Linked DNA regions of Elephas maximus indicus. Each later gene encodes a partner of the first gene's protein in a complex. Links are inferred from orthologs where the notes say so. Each region holds a gene or a part of one and is shown in the gene's direction. Other genes may lie near its edges.

Region 1 (7,370 bases):
GGCTCCAGCCAACAGCTGAGCTGCCCTTTCCACCACTGTACACCTGATGGCCCTCAGCAGGACTGGGGCACTGCCCCTCCCAGGGGAGGCTGCAAACAGTGACAGCATGCCAGGCTGCCTCTCCTGACCTCCCGGCTGCAATGGCGAAGTCGATTCTTTCCTGGGCTTTCCTCTGCTAGTGTCTGTTCCCTGAGCCCAGCAGGCAGCAGGCAAGAGGTGAGGGTGGCAGGAGCAGCAGGGGCTAGATGTGAGGCGTCCCCAAGATCTTGTCTCCCTGCCCTCTCCCTGCCCCAACATATCCTCCTCCTCGAGGTGGCCTCTCAGCATGAAAGTGCTCTGGCCACCTCTCTGCTGGCTTATCTTCTGTCCTCTGAGGTGCAACTCTGATTTGTACTGTATGAGACACTAAATAAAAACAACTTCCAAATGCGGATTCTTGGTCCTTTTCTCCCAGTCAGCCCTGATCTCAAGATGAGCTTGGGAATGAATGTTTGGCAGGTACCCAGACCCTCTGTGGGCACAACTTCCAAATCCAAATCCTGCTTAGCTGGAAGGTCCCTGCAGACTTAGGTCTGGCCCAGAGGTCACACACTGGGGCCACAGGACGAAGCCACTGCAGATGTGTTTTGCTTGGACTTCAGTGTTTTAAAAATGCTTTTAAAAATTGGGAAATTTCACATAAAAATCCAGGCTTTTAAGCTTTTTTGATGAGCAGAAGGTGATAACACAGGACCCACATACTAACATGGCTACCACTGGCTGGAGCTGCCTCTTTAGAGGTATGTGTGCTTTTGGGTCCGGCACGGTTCCCACTTTCCCATCCTCATTCATGTCTGTTACCTGGCTGACATTGGTGAGCAAGTTTGTGACCCTGATTTAGTGTAGCCCCCCACTCTATACATGGACCAACCAAGGCCAGAGGAAAAAGCCCTCTCCCAAGACCACCCAGGGAATCAGTGGGGCAAAGCTGATGCTGCCTCCATTTGGCAGGCAGTAGAAGGGAGCCTGAAGGAAGGGACAGATTTGTTAAGTCTCCTTTGTGCCCTAAAGGAATGTCTTGGTACCCTCCTCTGAGGGAAAGGACTTGGCAGTGATTCTCAGGCAGAAGTGCAAGCTCCCCCAGAGCTGGTCCTGGCTCTGCTCCTGGCTTCTGGCCTTGTTGGACCAAAGTTCTCATCTCTTTGTGCTAGGCCTTTCCCTACCAGATTGGACGTTCAGCCTCATGAAATGTGCTGTGCTATCTTCCTGCTGATAGGAAACTTTTATCCATTCAGCGAATGCCGACCAAGTTCCTGCTTACGTGCCAGGCTCTCTGCGTGGGACACAAGGCTGCGGTGTAGGCTCCTTGCTCGGGCAGAGTTCCAGAGTAGAGCCATTCTGAACTCCCAGGAAACTCCTCCAGCCCCTCTGAACCTGTCCTAACCAGAACCCAGTGCTGTCGAGTCAATTCCGGCTCATAGCGAGCCTATAGGACAGAGTAGAACTGCCCCATAAGGCTTTAATATGCTGCCAAGGGAAGAGACAAAGACAGGTTTGATGTGACTGGAGTGTGAGAGGGTCTCAGGAGGGACCCCTTGACAAGATCCTGTGCTGTCCAGCTCAGCAGCACCACTCGGCCAGGCCGCAGAGGCCTTGGAGGGCGGGGGTGGGGGAGGAGGTTGGCTGAAACAAAATATCAGTGCAGGACCTGATCCTCTTCTTCATACACACAACAAGCTGACCCTACCTCCCCCCTTCAGTTCTTCCTACCCCAAATGAAACAGGGAAGTAAAAGTAAAGATCGCTCGGGTCTCCAAGTACAACTGATAAAGCCCCCTTGGCTCGCATGGCTTTTTTGCTACGATGAACCTGGTCTCAGGTTATAATGACACTTTCCCGCACTGATTGCTCATCGTGCCCTGGACTGGACACTTTACATATCTCATCTCACTGGATCCTCACAACACCCCCATGAGATATGCGCTGTTAATTCTCATCTTGCAGACAGGAGAACTGAGTCCACACAGTTAAGTGCCACAACCAAGGATTCTAACCAGATTAGTCTGACACCAGAACCTGAAGCATTAACCCCTATGCTCTACTTCCTCCCTCCAGTGTCCACTCCTGCCCCTTCTGAGGACTGCTAGGTGTGTGTGTGTGGAGGGAGGGGGTCTGCAGCACACTCGAATTCTTTGAGCTGCTGCACTATTCTTTGTTTTTTTTTTTTTTTTAACATTAGCAAAACTAAAACCAAGAAAGCTTTGATTTTTATTTTAAATTTGAACCACCCAAAAGTCCAATCTTCTTTTCACCCCTTGGCTCTTCATACCCAAGTGGCTGGCTGCTGTGGGGGCCATTCACACTCCCCATGTTCCTGTCTCCTCCATCACTACTGCTGCACAACAACTAGGCCATCAGCAATATCAGGAGGTAGAGAGGCAAAAGGAGATTGTCTATCTGTGTGGTGTACGCTTCTAGGAGGGACACAGTACTGATGGACCCCAAAATCCAAGCATAATTGTAGTTTAGGTCCACTTCACTGTCAAAGATTAAGATCAGAGCTACAGAAATGATCTGGGCAAATATAGACGTCATGGTCCCCTCGAAAGTCTTTTTAGTTCCAGGCCAGTGGATCTCTCCCATGGCGCTGCCAAAGACAGAGGCCACAGTATCGCCTACACCCACAGCCAGGACGCCAGCGTAAGGGACTAGGGCCCTTGCTCCCCCGAAGCTACCCTTCTGTGTACAGGGTCTGGGGACCAGCCAAATGGGAAGAGACACGCCCAGGAGCAGGTAGATGTGGGTCAGGATGAGTGGTCCACTGTCTCGTTCATCCAGGAAGAGGGACAGGAGGTTCCGCAGAGTGTGGCCCAGGGGCTTGATGCGGAAGTAGCGCACATACTCCAAGAAGATGAAGACTGCCAGGCATACAGTGGCGGCCACATAGAGCAGTGGCCGGTCAAAGATGATACCTGGGATGTAGGTGGCTACCACAATGAAGTGGAAATACTTCCGGGCGATGGTGGGGGCCTGGTGCTTCTTGGATTCAGAAGATGACCGCTTTGCATTCTGGTACAGCACTACCAGGCAGGCCAAGGTGGCCAGCAGAGACCAATAGGCTAGGAGGTAGATGCGGGTATCTGTTTGGAAGAGGAAATGAAGGAGCCAGAGCAAGGGATTCCTGCGGATGAGTCGATGCAGCCAGGGCAGGACCACACCAAGGCCCAGCACGCAGGTCATGAGGTGGAAGAAGATGGAGGAGGCCCAGGTGCCTGAGTCCATGAAGGCAAAGAGGGTGCTGAAGAGGATACCCATGAGCACCATCCCTACCACCACTACCAACAAGAAGAAGTCCACTGGGTCCCCCTGGTTTTCCACCACTGTCAGAGAGCGCTTGATAAGCTGGTTGAGCACAAAGCTGATGCCACCTAATACCAGCACTGCCTCTCCAGGGGTGAAGCAGCGGGGCAGCAGGTACAGCAGGATCATGTTGAGGTACACGAAGATTAGCAGGACCTCTAGGACCTCAATCACCTCACCCACACTAAGCGAGTGCTTCATGATGTAAATGATGCCACCTCCAGCCAAGCCCGAGATGACGCAAGTGTTGGTGGGCACGGGGCGAGTGATGCCCAGCGCCAACACTGACGAGAAGAGGGCCACTGCCATGCCAGTGGCTGCTACGACGATACCAAAACGTTCAAAGTGTGGGTTCCCTGCAGCCTGGCAGCGTTCCTTCATGACCAGTCCGAGCAAAGGCATGACCATGGAGGCAGGCAGTAGTCCACTGTTGGCAGACATTCGGAACTGGAAGACGGCGCCTCCTTGCTGGAGCAGCCGGTCCCACTTGTATTGGACGTAGAAGGCCTGCACTGCGAGGGCCACAGCGCACCACGAGTATCGGTCCCACACGGTTACGTGAATGCTCAGCACCATGGCGAACACCACTGCCGCCTCTGCCAGGACCGAACCGCTCAGCGGAGCTCCCGCCCCCGGGGTCGGAGGAGCGCTATCTCGGGTCATGTCTCCAGGCTTGAGGCCCCCGGAAAGCCGGGGTGACTAGGGACGCCTTGGACTCTTGGTCCCTCAGCACCGCCAAGCAAAGGACAACGGTTTCACCCAGCCAGTAACCTTCTCCCTCCGTTTTCCAGTTGTAAGGACAGAACTCCACTGCAGGTCACTCTCTGCGGCCTGAAAGCTGGAGTCCCGTCACTCTCCACCGCCTCCAATTTACGGAGTAGACACCGTCTCTCGGCCGCCTTCCTCACGACCGCGGACACCCTGGCCGCTGGTTCTCCGCTTCCCCGGGTATCGCCATCTTGGCCCCGCCCCGTACCGGACTCACGTGACGGAAGCTCCGCCCCACGCGTCAGGTACCAGGCGAGCGGTCACGTGGGCGCCGCGTCTGGGGGCGGGGCTGGGGCGCGCGCGCGGGAAGATGGCGGCGGCCGCCGGCGAGCCGTGTGTGAGGTGCGGAGCGGGCCAAGTTGTCGGGGTTGGCTGTGAGGCGCGGGCTCGAAACTAAGCAGAAGCGGGGCGGGAATTGGGAGCGGGATGTGGCGGCGGTGGCGGTGCGAAGCCCGGCTGGGTAGACGGCGCCGAGACGGGAAGCGGTTACGTGCAAACGGTCCCCGCGCGCGGGGAGCTGAAGGGACTTCTCCAAGCGGAGGGCCGGTTCCTCACCTTATCCCTCAGTTCTGGGCTTCCCGTCTCCTCACCCAAGTCCTTTTCTCTTCTTCCCCTCTTCCCGTCCGTGTGTCCTTTGGAGCCCCACTAGCGCTTCCTCGTCTGGCTGTGACGCTACCTCGAGGCGCAACGGGCGCTTTGCGGTCGCCTGGAGGACCCTCTCCTTCCCTCCCCCTCCCCCCACGTCCCCGCCGCAGCCCCCCGGTGACCTGTCCCGGGCCTTCCCTGCCTCTCAGGTTCTCCTCATGTGCTCTCTTGTTGCACAGAGCCACCTCCTTGTAGTTTTTGTCCTCATTCTCCGCTCAGCCTTTCATCCACCCATCTATTCATTATTTTACTCATTGATTCGGTCAGCCGATGTGTTCAAATCTCCCAAGAGATTTCAGGCACTGTTCTAGGCTTTGGGAGCAAGAAGACGAAACGCTAAAAAGAATAATACAGTTTTCAATATAGAGGGTTTGCTCTTGCCAGACACTGGTGAGATCCTTTTGAATTCTCACAGCTCTTGTGAGGTACCCTTTACAGATGAGTCAGAAGTCCCGCTCTGCTAGCTAAGGGGTAAAGTGAGGGAGGATTCAAATCCGAGTCTGTTCGACTCCAGAACTGTAATGAAACCTTCACACCCCTGTCTTCCACATTCCACCTTGAAGAGGTTTCGTCCATTCTACTCCCTCCCACCTTCCCTAGTCAAAGTAGTTATGGCGCTTATATTCCCAGTGCCAACAATGTTTTCCCCACTTTTTTGTCGTATTCCCCACTGTATCCTCCGTACCCAGGAATAGCATGTAATTAAAAAAAAAAAAAGCCATTAGTATTTATTACAAATATTGTCCGTTTTCTCTGGCATCACTTTAATTTCCCAGCTGAAAGTGAGATTTTTCTCCTCTGGAATTTTCCCTGGACTACCTCTGTACCTTGTGAGGACCAGTTTGCTTTTTTCTCCTCTGTCGTTTCATGCCAACCATTGTATCAGGACAGCATTGTAGCCACTGTGCCCTCCTTTTCTTAGGGTTGTTTCATAGTCGTTATGGCTCCTGTAGAATAAAGCATGTTCCTTAATGAAAAGGAACATTAGGAAAGCATTGGTTTGCCTGAAAGATGACTTGTTCATGCTGGGGAACCTACCAAACTCATCCTAAGGAGGAAGAAAGGGCATTAGAGTTCTTAGGCACTGCTTTGCTCATGGCTTGTATCAGGAGAGTGATTTTTTTGTGTGTGTGTGCCAAAAGTCACATTCAGTAGCAGATGGAATTATACTGAGCAGCAGTCCTCTGTCTGAAATGCCTGTAGGTCTGGACTAAGAGAAAACTTAATTCTCTTCCTGATGCCTCAGATTTGCAGATGACTGCAGACAAGCGACCTCACCATTTTGAACCTGTCTCTCCAAATGCAGATCATTTCCAGAGTAGTATTGAAGTGGCTGTGAGGCTTTTTTTTTTTTTTGTAGGAAAAGTCATTGTGAATGTTAATACAAGCTGGCATTAGTTTAAAAAAAAAAAAAAAAAAGGAATACTACCCTTAAATCAATCTTTTGGAAAGGTCACTCAGGAATTGGCAGAAAGTTTGAATATTGGCACTTTTCTTGTAACTCCTGCGTTCTTCAGTTAAAGTGTTTGAATTAGTCTGAATGGTGTAGGTGTGCTAAACAAAAATAGAACTGCAATTTGGAAAGCTTTTGCTGCTGAGCTTAAATCTCAGTTCACACAAGAGAGGTATACTTCCTCTGTGAAGTTAGAGCGTCCACGGGCAGTGGTAGCTTTTATTTATTAAATATCTCATCAAGGTAGCTTGGCTGTGTCCCAGCTTTCTATCCAAAGGACTGAATTGTAGAAACAGTTATTTCTAACTCCCAGTAGCCTTCACTCATAGCTTTCCAATGAGATGGATGACTAAAGAAGATAATTTTCAGGCTCCATTAACTTCAGCTCTTGTAGGAATGACGTTCCATGTTTGCTGGAACACTGGACTGGAAATAGTGAAGTTTTTAAAACTTTACCTTTGAATTTGAGGCAAATTATTTAATCTGTGCCTTAGTGTCTCCCCCACATACTTCGCTGAAAGGAGTATTATGCATGTAAATGAGAGACATTAGCACATAGTTTCTTGGAAATATATATAGAAGCTATTTCCCCGAGTCTTGGGTGGGCTTCACAGTTCTAAGTTTCAGTCAAGCCTTTAGGTCCCAATTTGAGATGAAGCCTTTTGTCAATCACTGAATCAGTCCCCAGCAATCCCTCTCTCTTCTGACTTTTCTGTTCTATGTGGTTAAGTTTCTTTGTATTAGTTGTTAGTATCATGCCGTTTAGTACTTTCTTCCTTTTTGCCGATTGTGTAATGTGTATTTAATATCCTTTGCCGTTCTCATCCCTTAAGCTTAGCATCATAAAGGTCTTAGATTTATTTGTATCCCCATTATTCCTAGGCCAGTGAGTATGTAGGTATTGAGGAAACCAGTTAGACTTACTTCCATAGATTTTGTTCCTGATAACTCTACCATTTTCTCCTTTATTCTCCCTTCTGTTGGTACTTCTGCATATATTGTTTTTCTTGATTTTTCTGTTCCAGTTAGATTGCAAGCCTAAAAGGGACCCATATCATTCCCTTTCTTTGATGTTTATTCTTTCAAATATCTGTGCCAGCTACTACGTTAAGGGTATGGTCCGCTATTGTAGAACACCTCAGTTGACATCTTTGCTTGCTGGCAG
Region 2 (7,207 bases), on another chromosome or scaffold:
CCATCTTGTCTTGCTTTTTTATACAGTTTGATATCATCTGCTGTATCTGAGGCATTAAGGTACCAGGTTAGTGCTAGCAGTTACTGAATTCTCTGGAGGTCAGGGCAGGAGGCCTCATATCCATTTGTGGTTCTATGTGTGACTTTGGTGGTGTCTGTTGGCTGAGAGTGATTTTCTCACTAGTGGATATGGTGGATCACACCCACTTGGAGTCCTCTGTAGTTAGGCTTGTATGTCTTCCCTTACCTGATTGAGTGTAAGTGGTATAGCTGGTTCTTTCCCTGATATTGGGTCACAAATGTTGGGTAGTCTGGGTCCCTCTGCAGCCCTTGTGGGACCATGTGGTACTTCTGGGTTGATGCTAGTAGTTAGTGTATCTGCTGGAGAGCACGAAAGGTCATCTTTGTAGGGGATAGGCTCTGGGTATAGGCACAAATGCTCTCACTGGGCCAATGGGCACTGGAGTGCTCCTGCTGGTCACTATGTGGTAGGTACTCTCCATCCACTTGCTGGGCTGCAGGCTAGGGGGCATTTCTGCTGGTTGCTGGGCAGTGAATGCAGGCACACTCCTGCCAGTCTCTGTATAGCAGGCATGCTCCTGCTGGTTGCTGGGATGCAGGTGCGCTCCTGCCGATCACTAGGTGCGCTCCCACTGGTCTCCAGGCTGCAGGTGTGCTCTGACCAGTCCAGCAGTCCTAGGTGCTCCTGCCAGTTGCCGGGTGGCAGGTGTGCTCCTGCTGGTTGCTGGGCAGTGGGCGTGCTCCTGCTGGTCTCCAGGCAGCTGAAGCAGACTCCCGCCAGTTGGTGGGTAAGGGTGTGGGGGATGCTCTTGTTTGGCTGCTCCAGGCAATTGAGGCCTGGTTCATTTAAATGTGGGGGAGTGCATGGAGACTGGCTGGGTGTGGTTTTACTATTCAGTGGGTGCTTCCCGGCCAAATGCTCAGGCACTGCCACTGGCGAGTAGTACCTTTCCTAGTTCCTGGCTCCCTCCCCTCTGCGCGGTTTGTTTGCACAGTATCTCTTCCTCCTGTTGTGAGCTCCATGTAGTTGCCTTCCTGTGCTCCTTACCCAGGAATGCTGCCCGCTTTGTTTCAAGATGGCTATGTTGTGCCAGGCGAGCTGGCAAGGTGCTGAGGATCTGTATATCTCCATGTGTGCTGTTTTCTTTCAGTCTCTCCTTCCACTTGGAGCTCAGTCTAATTCTTAATCCTTCTGTTTAATGATCAGGGTTCCCTGGTTGTCCTGTATCTGTTTCACTTAGTTTCTAAAGTACTTGATGTAGGGGGACATTCTGCATGTCAGTCTAAGCCACCACCTTAGGCTTTCTGTGCCTAGTTTTTTAGTTTTATTCTATTATACTATCTTTACAATGGGCTGCAATGATGTGATCAAACATAGCAACGACTGTGAGGATGGTGCAGGATGGGTGCCATGGATTGAATTATGTCCCCCCAAAAATGTATTAACCTGGTTAGGCCATGATTCCCAGTATTCTGCGGTTGTTCTCCACTTTGTGATTGTAATTTTATGTTAAGAGGATTGGGCGGGATTGTAACACCATCCTTACTCAGGTCACCTCCCTGATCCAATGTGGAGGGAGTTTCCCTGGGGTGAGGCCTTTACCATGTTTTATAAGGGACGCAAGCAGAGAGTTGGGGACCTCATACCACCAAGAAAGCAGCACCGAGAGCAGAGCACGTCCTTTGGACCTGGGGTTCCTGCACCTGAGATGCTACCAGACCAAGAGAAGATGGATGACAAGGACCTTCCTCTAGAGCTGACAGAGACAGAAAGCCTTCCTCTGGAGCTGATGCCCTGAATTTGGACTTATAACCTCCTAGACTGTGAGAGAATAAATTTCTCTTTGTTAAAGCCATCCACTTGTGGTACTTCTGTTATAGCAGCACTAGATGACTAAGACAACGGGGCAGTGTTTTGTTCTGATATACACAGGGTGCTATGAGTTCAAACCGACTCAGTGGCACTGTTGTGGATTGAATTGTGTTCCACAAAAATGTGTGTCAACTTGGGGCTAGGCCATGAGTCCCAGTATTATGTGGTTGTCCTCCATTTTGCGATCTGATGTAATTATCCTCTGTGTTTTAAATCCTAACCTCTATGACGTTAATGAGGCAGGGATTATAGGCAGTTATGGAAATGAGACAGGATACAATCTACAGGATTAGGTTGTATCTTGAGCCAATCTTTTTTGAGATATAAAATACAGAAGGGAGTAGAGAGGAGAGAGACCTCCTGCCACTGAGAAAGAAGAGCTGGGAGCAGTTCATCCTTTGGATCCTGGATCCCTGTGCTAAGAAAATCCTAGACCCAGGGGAAAACTGATGACAAGGACCTTCCCCCAGAGCTGACAGAGAAAGCCTTGCCCTGGTGCTGGCATCCTGAATTTGGGCTTCTAGACTGTGAGAGAATATATTTCCGTATGTTAAAGCCATCCACTTGTGGTATTTCTTTTATAGCAGCACTAGATAAATAAGACAGGCAACTAATTACCTGTCCATATTTAGCTCATTCTTCTAAGCCTAACACATATGCCATCTCCCTGAAGAAGCCCTACTGTGTTCTTTCCCTTCTCTAAACCTTTATATACATCCCTTATCTTTATCCCATTGCTGTCAAGTTGATTCCAACTCATAGTGACCCTATTGGACAGGTTAGAACTGCCCCATAGGGTTTCCAAGGCTGTAAATCTTTCTGGAAGCAGACTGATGACATTTTTGTTCTGCAGAGTGGCTGGTGGGTTTGAACCACCGACCTTTCAGTTAGCAACTTAGCTCTTAACCACTGCACCACCAGGGCTCCTTCCTTATATCATAACCCATTGCTGCTGAGTCAATTCTGACTCATAGCAACCCTATAGGAGAGAGTAGAACTGCCCCGTAGGGATTCTAAGGAGTGATGGTGGATTCAAACTGCTGACCTTTTCATTGGTAGCCAAGCTCTCAACCACTGCACTGCTTTATATCATGTTAATAAGTTAAATATTTTCTCTCTTCCTTACTCACACACTCCCTCCCAGGATTTTATTCATGTTTACGAGATTTGCAGCTTAGCTCAGTACTCTTCCCAGCAAGATTCTATGAAATGCAGCACATATTTTTGATGCATTAGACAGTGTATGGATTGTTAGTGGCATTGAGTTCACCCTCAACTAATAGGGACACCATGCACAATGGAATCTGATCATTATGAGCCATAGGGTTTTCACTGGATGATTTTTCAGCAGATCACCAGGCCTTTCTTCCTGGTCTTGGTCTGGAAGCTTGGCTGAAATCTGTTCAGCATCATAACTACACATGTCTCCATTAACAGGCATATAGTGACTGTGCTTGAGGTGCACTGGCCAGGAATCTAACCCAGGCTCCACGTGAAAAGTGAGAGTCCTACCATGGCCTTCAAATAGTGCTAGGTTGCTAGGACTAGAGTTAAATGGAAGATACAAGTCTGGCCTTCAAGAAATTCAACATAGTGGGGAGATGAAAAAGTAACCATATTAGCCAAATGAGCATCAAAAAACTTGGTTTGTTACTGAAAGTAACACCTTGTGTATGAACAGTTTACAGCCCTGGAAAATAATATGAGACACAGTGGACAAATCCCGTCAAAGGAGTTCAAAGGAGAAAGAGGGGGGAGAAGAGGTGTGATTACCCATAGGACCTGCTTTGAAATCACTAGGACAAATATAAGGGGGGAAAAATGCAGATTTATACCTCCTGGAATCACAACAGGGAAAAGGAGGCACTTAAGGATAGGTTTTAAACTCCCTAGCTCTTGGGCCATCCAAAATTTTAAGAAAACAGTGGCGCCAAGTTTCGCTGACCTCATCACCCATCTGCTCCCTTTAAATAGCTGGGAGACGGCTTGCAACATGACTCCTGCCTTCCTTTCTTCCGAGGTAGCTCGTCTCCAAACAGCAGCCAGTACACGGCGCTCTCAAGCGGACATTCGCCCACCCCACCGCCAAACACCGCAGAGGCGACCAGATCCGGGCCCCGCAAAGGATTCCGGGTAAAAGCATCTGGCCAATCTAAAGGGCCGACCGAGCTGCAGGAGGGACGAGCAAGGACGTTTCGTTGTTTGACGTTAAACCTGTCCAATGAGAATACAGAGTCAGTGAGGGCCCCCGCCCCAATAGGCAGGATATTAGCCAGTTTCAACCAATCCAACTCAGAAGTGTTGTCTTGTGGGCGTTCCTTGACGCTGCTGGCGCCGTTGGTGTCTGTTGAACGGGCTTTGCGAGTCGGGCTGTGTTGGTAGGGTGTTAAACTCGTTCTTGAGAGGAACGTCTCTGTCGGAAGAGAACATGAGTTTAGCTCTGAGGTCGGTAATGAGGAGACAATGCTCTCCACACCCCGGAGCGGGACCCAGGGGTGGGTGTGTGGGCGTGTGGAAAGAAGGCAGTTTGAGATGAGGAGCGGGGCGGGGACGGAATCTCGGCCAACTTTCTTGACCGCGGAACCCTTACGCTAGGAGCCCTTGGTGTTCCGTAGGTGATGAGTTCCGGCTAAGGTGATCGTTTCTGTCAACCCGTTTCGGTTTTTGGACTGCCAAGGAGGCAGCTACTGTGTTAGCGATCGTGGAGGGAGTGAAATATCGCGAGGCTTTCTGCTCTGGGTGTCCCTGCGAAAAACCAGGCCGTATCGTATCCTTCATTGAGTTCAGTGATCCCAACCTCCGGCCCCCACCTTCTGTTAAGTTGCTGACGTAATCACTCAGTTATAAATTTTGGAAATAATGCAAAGCTCCTCCTTGTTCTTCTCCCCGGGCCCTGCTTTGCGGTATAATTGGAGACACGTTTTAGTGACTTTAGTTGACAGTATCTTAGATTTCCTTAGATTGAGTTCGTTTCCCTTCATTCTAGCCTTTAACCTTCCCGCTCCACTTGCTTCTCCCTCCACCATCCCCATGTAGACGTTTTATCAGAAAAATACCCGTGTAGTTACGCCACTCTAAAAGGTGCTGTTTTCTACTAATGGGCAGTTGTGGTATTCTTGGATTGAGTCAGTTGTCGGTCGGTTGCAGACTTGTCCTCTCGGAATCTTGGGACGGTAACGACTGACCCCGGGAATGTCGAAGCTTGTGTGAAGCCTGGTCTCTTGTGAAAGAAAGATCTTCCTTACCTTTCTCATGCTTCACCTCCTGGTCACTTTCTAGCCATCTCTTTTTTTTTTTTTTTGGTTGCGGATTTCAGAGACCAAAACAACTGGAAGCGCGAATAACACGTTCTAATAAAATCAACTGGATTTTACATTATAAAGTTTTATACGATTTGTCTATACATGTGTTGCATCACCATTTGAAAATTTGGACCACATAAAGATTGGCGTCTCTTAAGACGTTTCTTCTGGCTTTTGAAATAAATTTTGCTTTTATTTTTCTTTAAGCTTTTCCAGAATTTGTTATAAGAAATTTATAATTTACATGCTAAGTGAGACTAGAAGACCATTGAAGCTTCATCTTATCTATATAGGATTAGCACAGTATTATGTACTTTTTCTTTTTGGCGTTTAATATTCGTGATATGTTTAGATTCAGTATTTTGGTTGATTTGTTAATATCAATGGATTAAATCACAAAGTGCCAAGCCATTAGCAATATGTAATGTAAAAACGTTTTGAACCTGCAGTGCCAAAATCTTTAGTAAGTTAATTGATAAATTATATGGTTTTATTTACTTTTTTTTGTAGTAATTTTTAGGATAAATTATAAGCACTCTCAAAAGTAAATCGAGTATGTATGGTTTCATAAATTATGAATTTTACTTGGAGGTTTTTTTAACTATATATTGTAGGATGATATGAATAAAGTTTGCTTTTTTGTTGTTTGGGGTTTAATAAAAGTAATGTTTTTTGTTTGGGGTGACGTAAAAGTAATGTTTCTTAATCACCGTTGTTGTTGCTTCCACAGTAATATTAACGGGAATTAACACAAAGCTATGAGGACTGAAAGTTAGGTCTTTGTTTTTCTTTCGAAAACCTGTAACGCTCTTCGGTTCTGGGAAGGGGCAAATGTATAGAAGCTCAGACAATTCCTTTTTAGAAAATCATTCACTGGATAATTTTTTATTTGTCTTTTTGCAGTCTTAATAATTCAGAGGCATAAGAGAATAGAATTAGAGTAGACTAACAACTTTTTTCTGTCCATTTCATAGAAATGAGCTTGTAGTAGACAAAACAAAGAGAAAAAAGCGAAGAGAACTCTCTGAGGAACAGAAGCAAGAAATTAAAGATGCGTTTGAACTATTTGATACAGACAAAGATGAAGCAATAGATTATCATGAGTTAAAGGTAATAAATCCTTTAAAATACATGTCTGTGTTATAATGATTTGCATTGTTGATAGTTTAAATATTTTTAACTGAATTGGTTTTAGAAATATGAAACAATTTTAAGCTTTCACAGTAAAGTGCTATAATAAAACTGAATACTACCCCTTACATACCTTTTCAAAACTCCCTTTTACATGGTAAAATGAGTTTTAAATAGTATTTTAAGCAGTATTTGAAACCTTGCATATATTCTTATGGCAGTTACTTATTTTTCATTCATGTAATTGAAAGATTTCAAACTATGGGATTTAAACAGCTCTTACTATATTCTTGCCATTTTTTTGATGAATCATTTTTTCAGTGTTTTTTTTTTTTAATTTTAACATGTTAGTAATAAGGTTTTAATCTACTGTCTCTGATGCAATCAACAGAAGTGATATCTAATGTTAATGGGGAAAAATGTCAACTTTAACGCCTAGAATTATTTATAAACATACAAGGGGAAACTGTTTTTGTTTTAAATATTGTGGTAAATATATATGCAACAAAGTATTTGATATTTCAATAATATTTATATGTACAGTTCAGTGACATTGTGTTCATCATGTTCGACCATTACCCTTATCTGTTCCCAAATTATAGAGAAAAACAGTTTTGAATGGCTTTCTAGTAGCCTTCATAGGTATGTGAATATAATAAATGTTTATTTGGTGGTTTTAATTTTGGTAACTTTGTATGGGATTTTTAAGCACAAAATTCTGAGTAGGGGAAAGAACTGTGCAGTGACAGGACGGAATGTATAAAAGCAATACTAGGCCTGTAAGTCTGGCTTTCTCAGTCTTGAGGTCCTCTTAAACTCTCTTCCTACAGCTTTTTTTAGTTACCCACATTTGATCATTTCTTCTATTCTTGCTATTACTC

Evidence for each region. Proteins that work in one complex are often made in the same cells at the same time.
Region 2: NUP188 (region 1) and CETN3 share a complex: the UniProt entries of both Homo sapiens proteins name them as parts of the nuclear pore complex. The link is inferred for Elephas maximus indicus from reciprocal best matches to the Homo sapiens genes NUP188 and CETN3.

The regions. Positions count from the first base shown.
Region 1 is NC_064827.1:79,928,687-79,936,056, forward strand, and holds the start of NUP188 (nucleoporin NUP188), read left to right. Parts: upstream 1-4,370; 5' UTR 4,371-4,417; coding exon 4,418-4,449; intron 4,450-7,370. Other genes in the region: PHYHD1 (phytanoyl-CoA dioxygenase domain-containing protein 1), read left to right, coding at 2-47; DOLK (dolichol kinase), read right to left, coding at 2,386-4,002. UniProt on the Homo sapiens protein: Component of the nuclear pore complex (NPC), a complex required for the trafficking across the nuclear envelope. Required for proper protein transport into the nucleus.
Region 2 is NC_064820.1:97,036,356-97,043,562, reverse strand, and holds the start of CETN3 (centrin-3), read left to right. Parts: upstream 1-4,204; 5' UTR 4,205-4,321; coding exon 4,322-4,338; intron 4,339-6,169; coding exon 6,170-6,305; intron 6,306-7,207. UniProt on the Homo sapiens protein: Plays a fundamental role in microtubule-organizing center structure and function. As a component of the TREX-2 complex, involved in the export of mRNAs to the cytoplasm through the nuclear pores.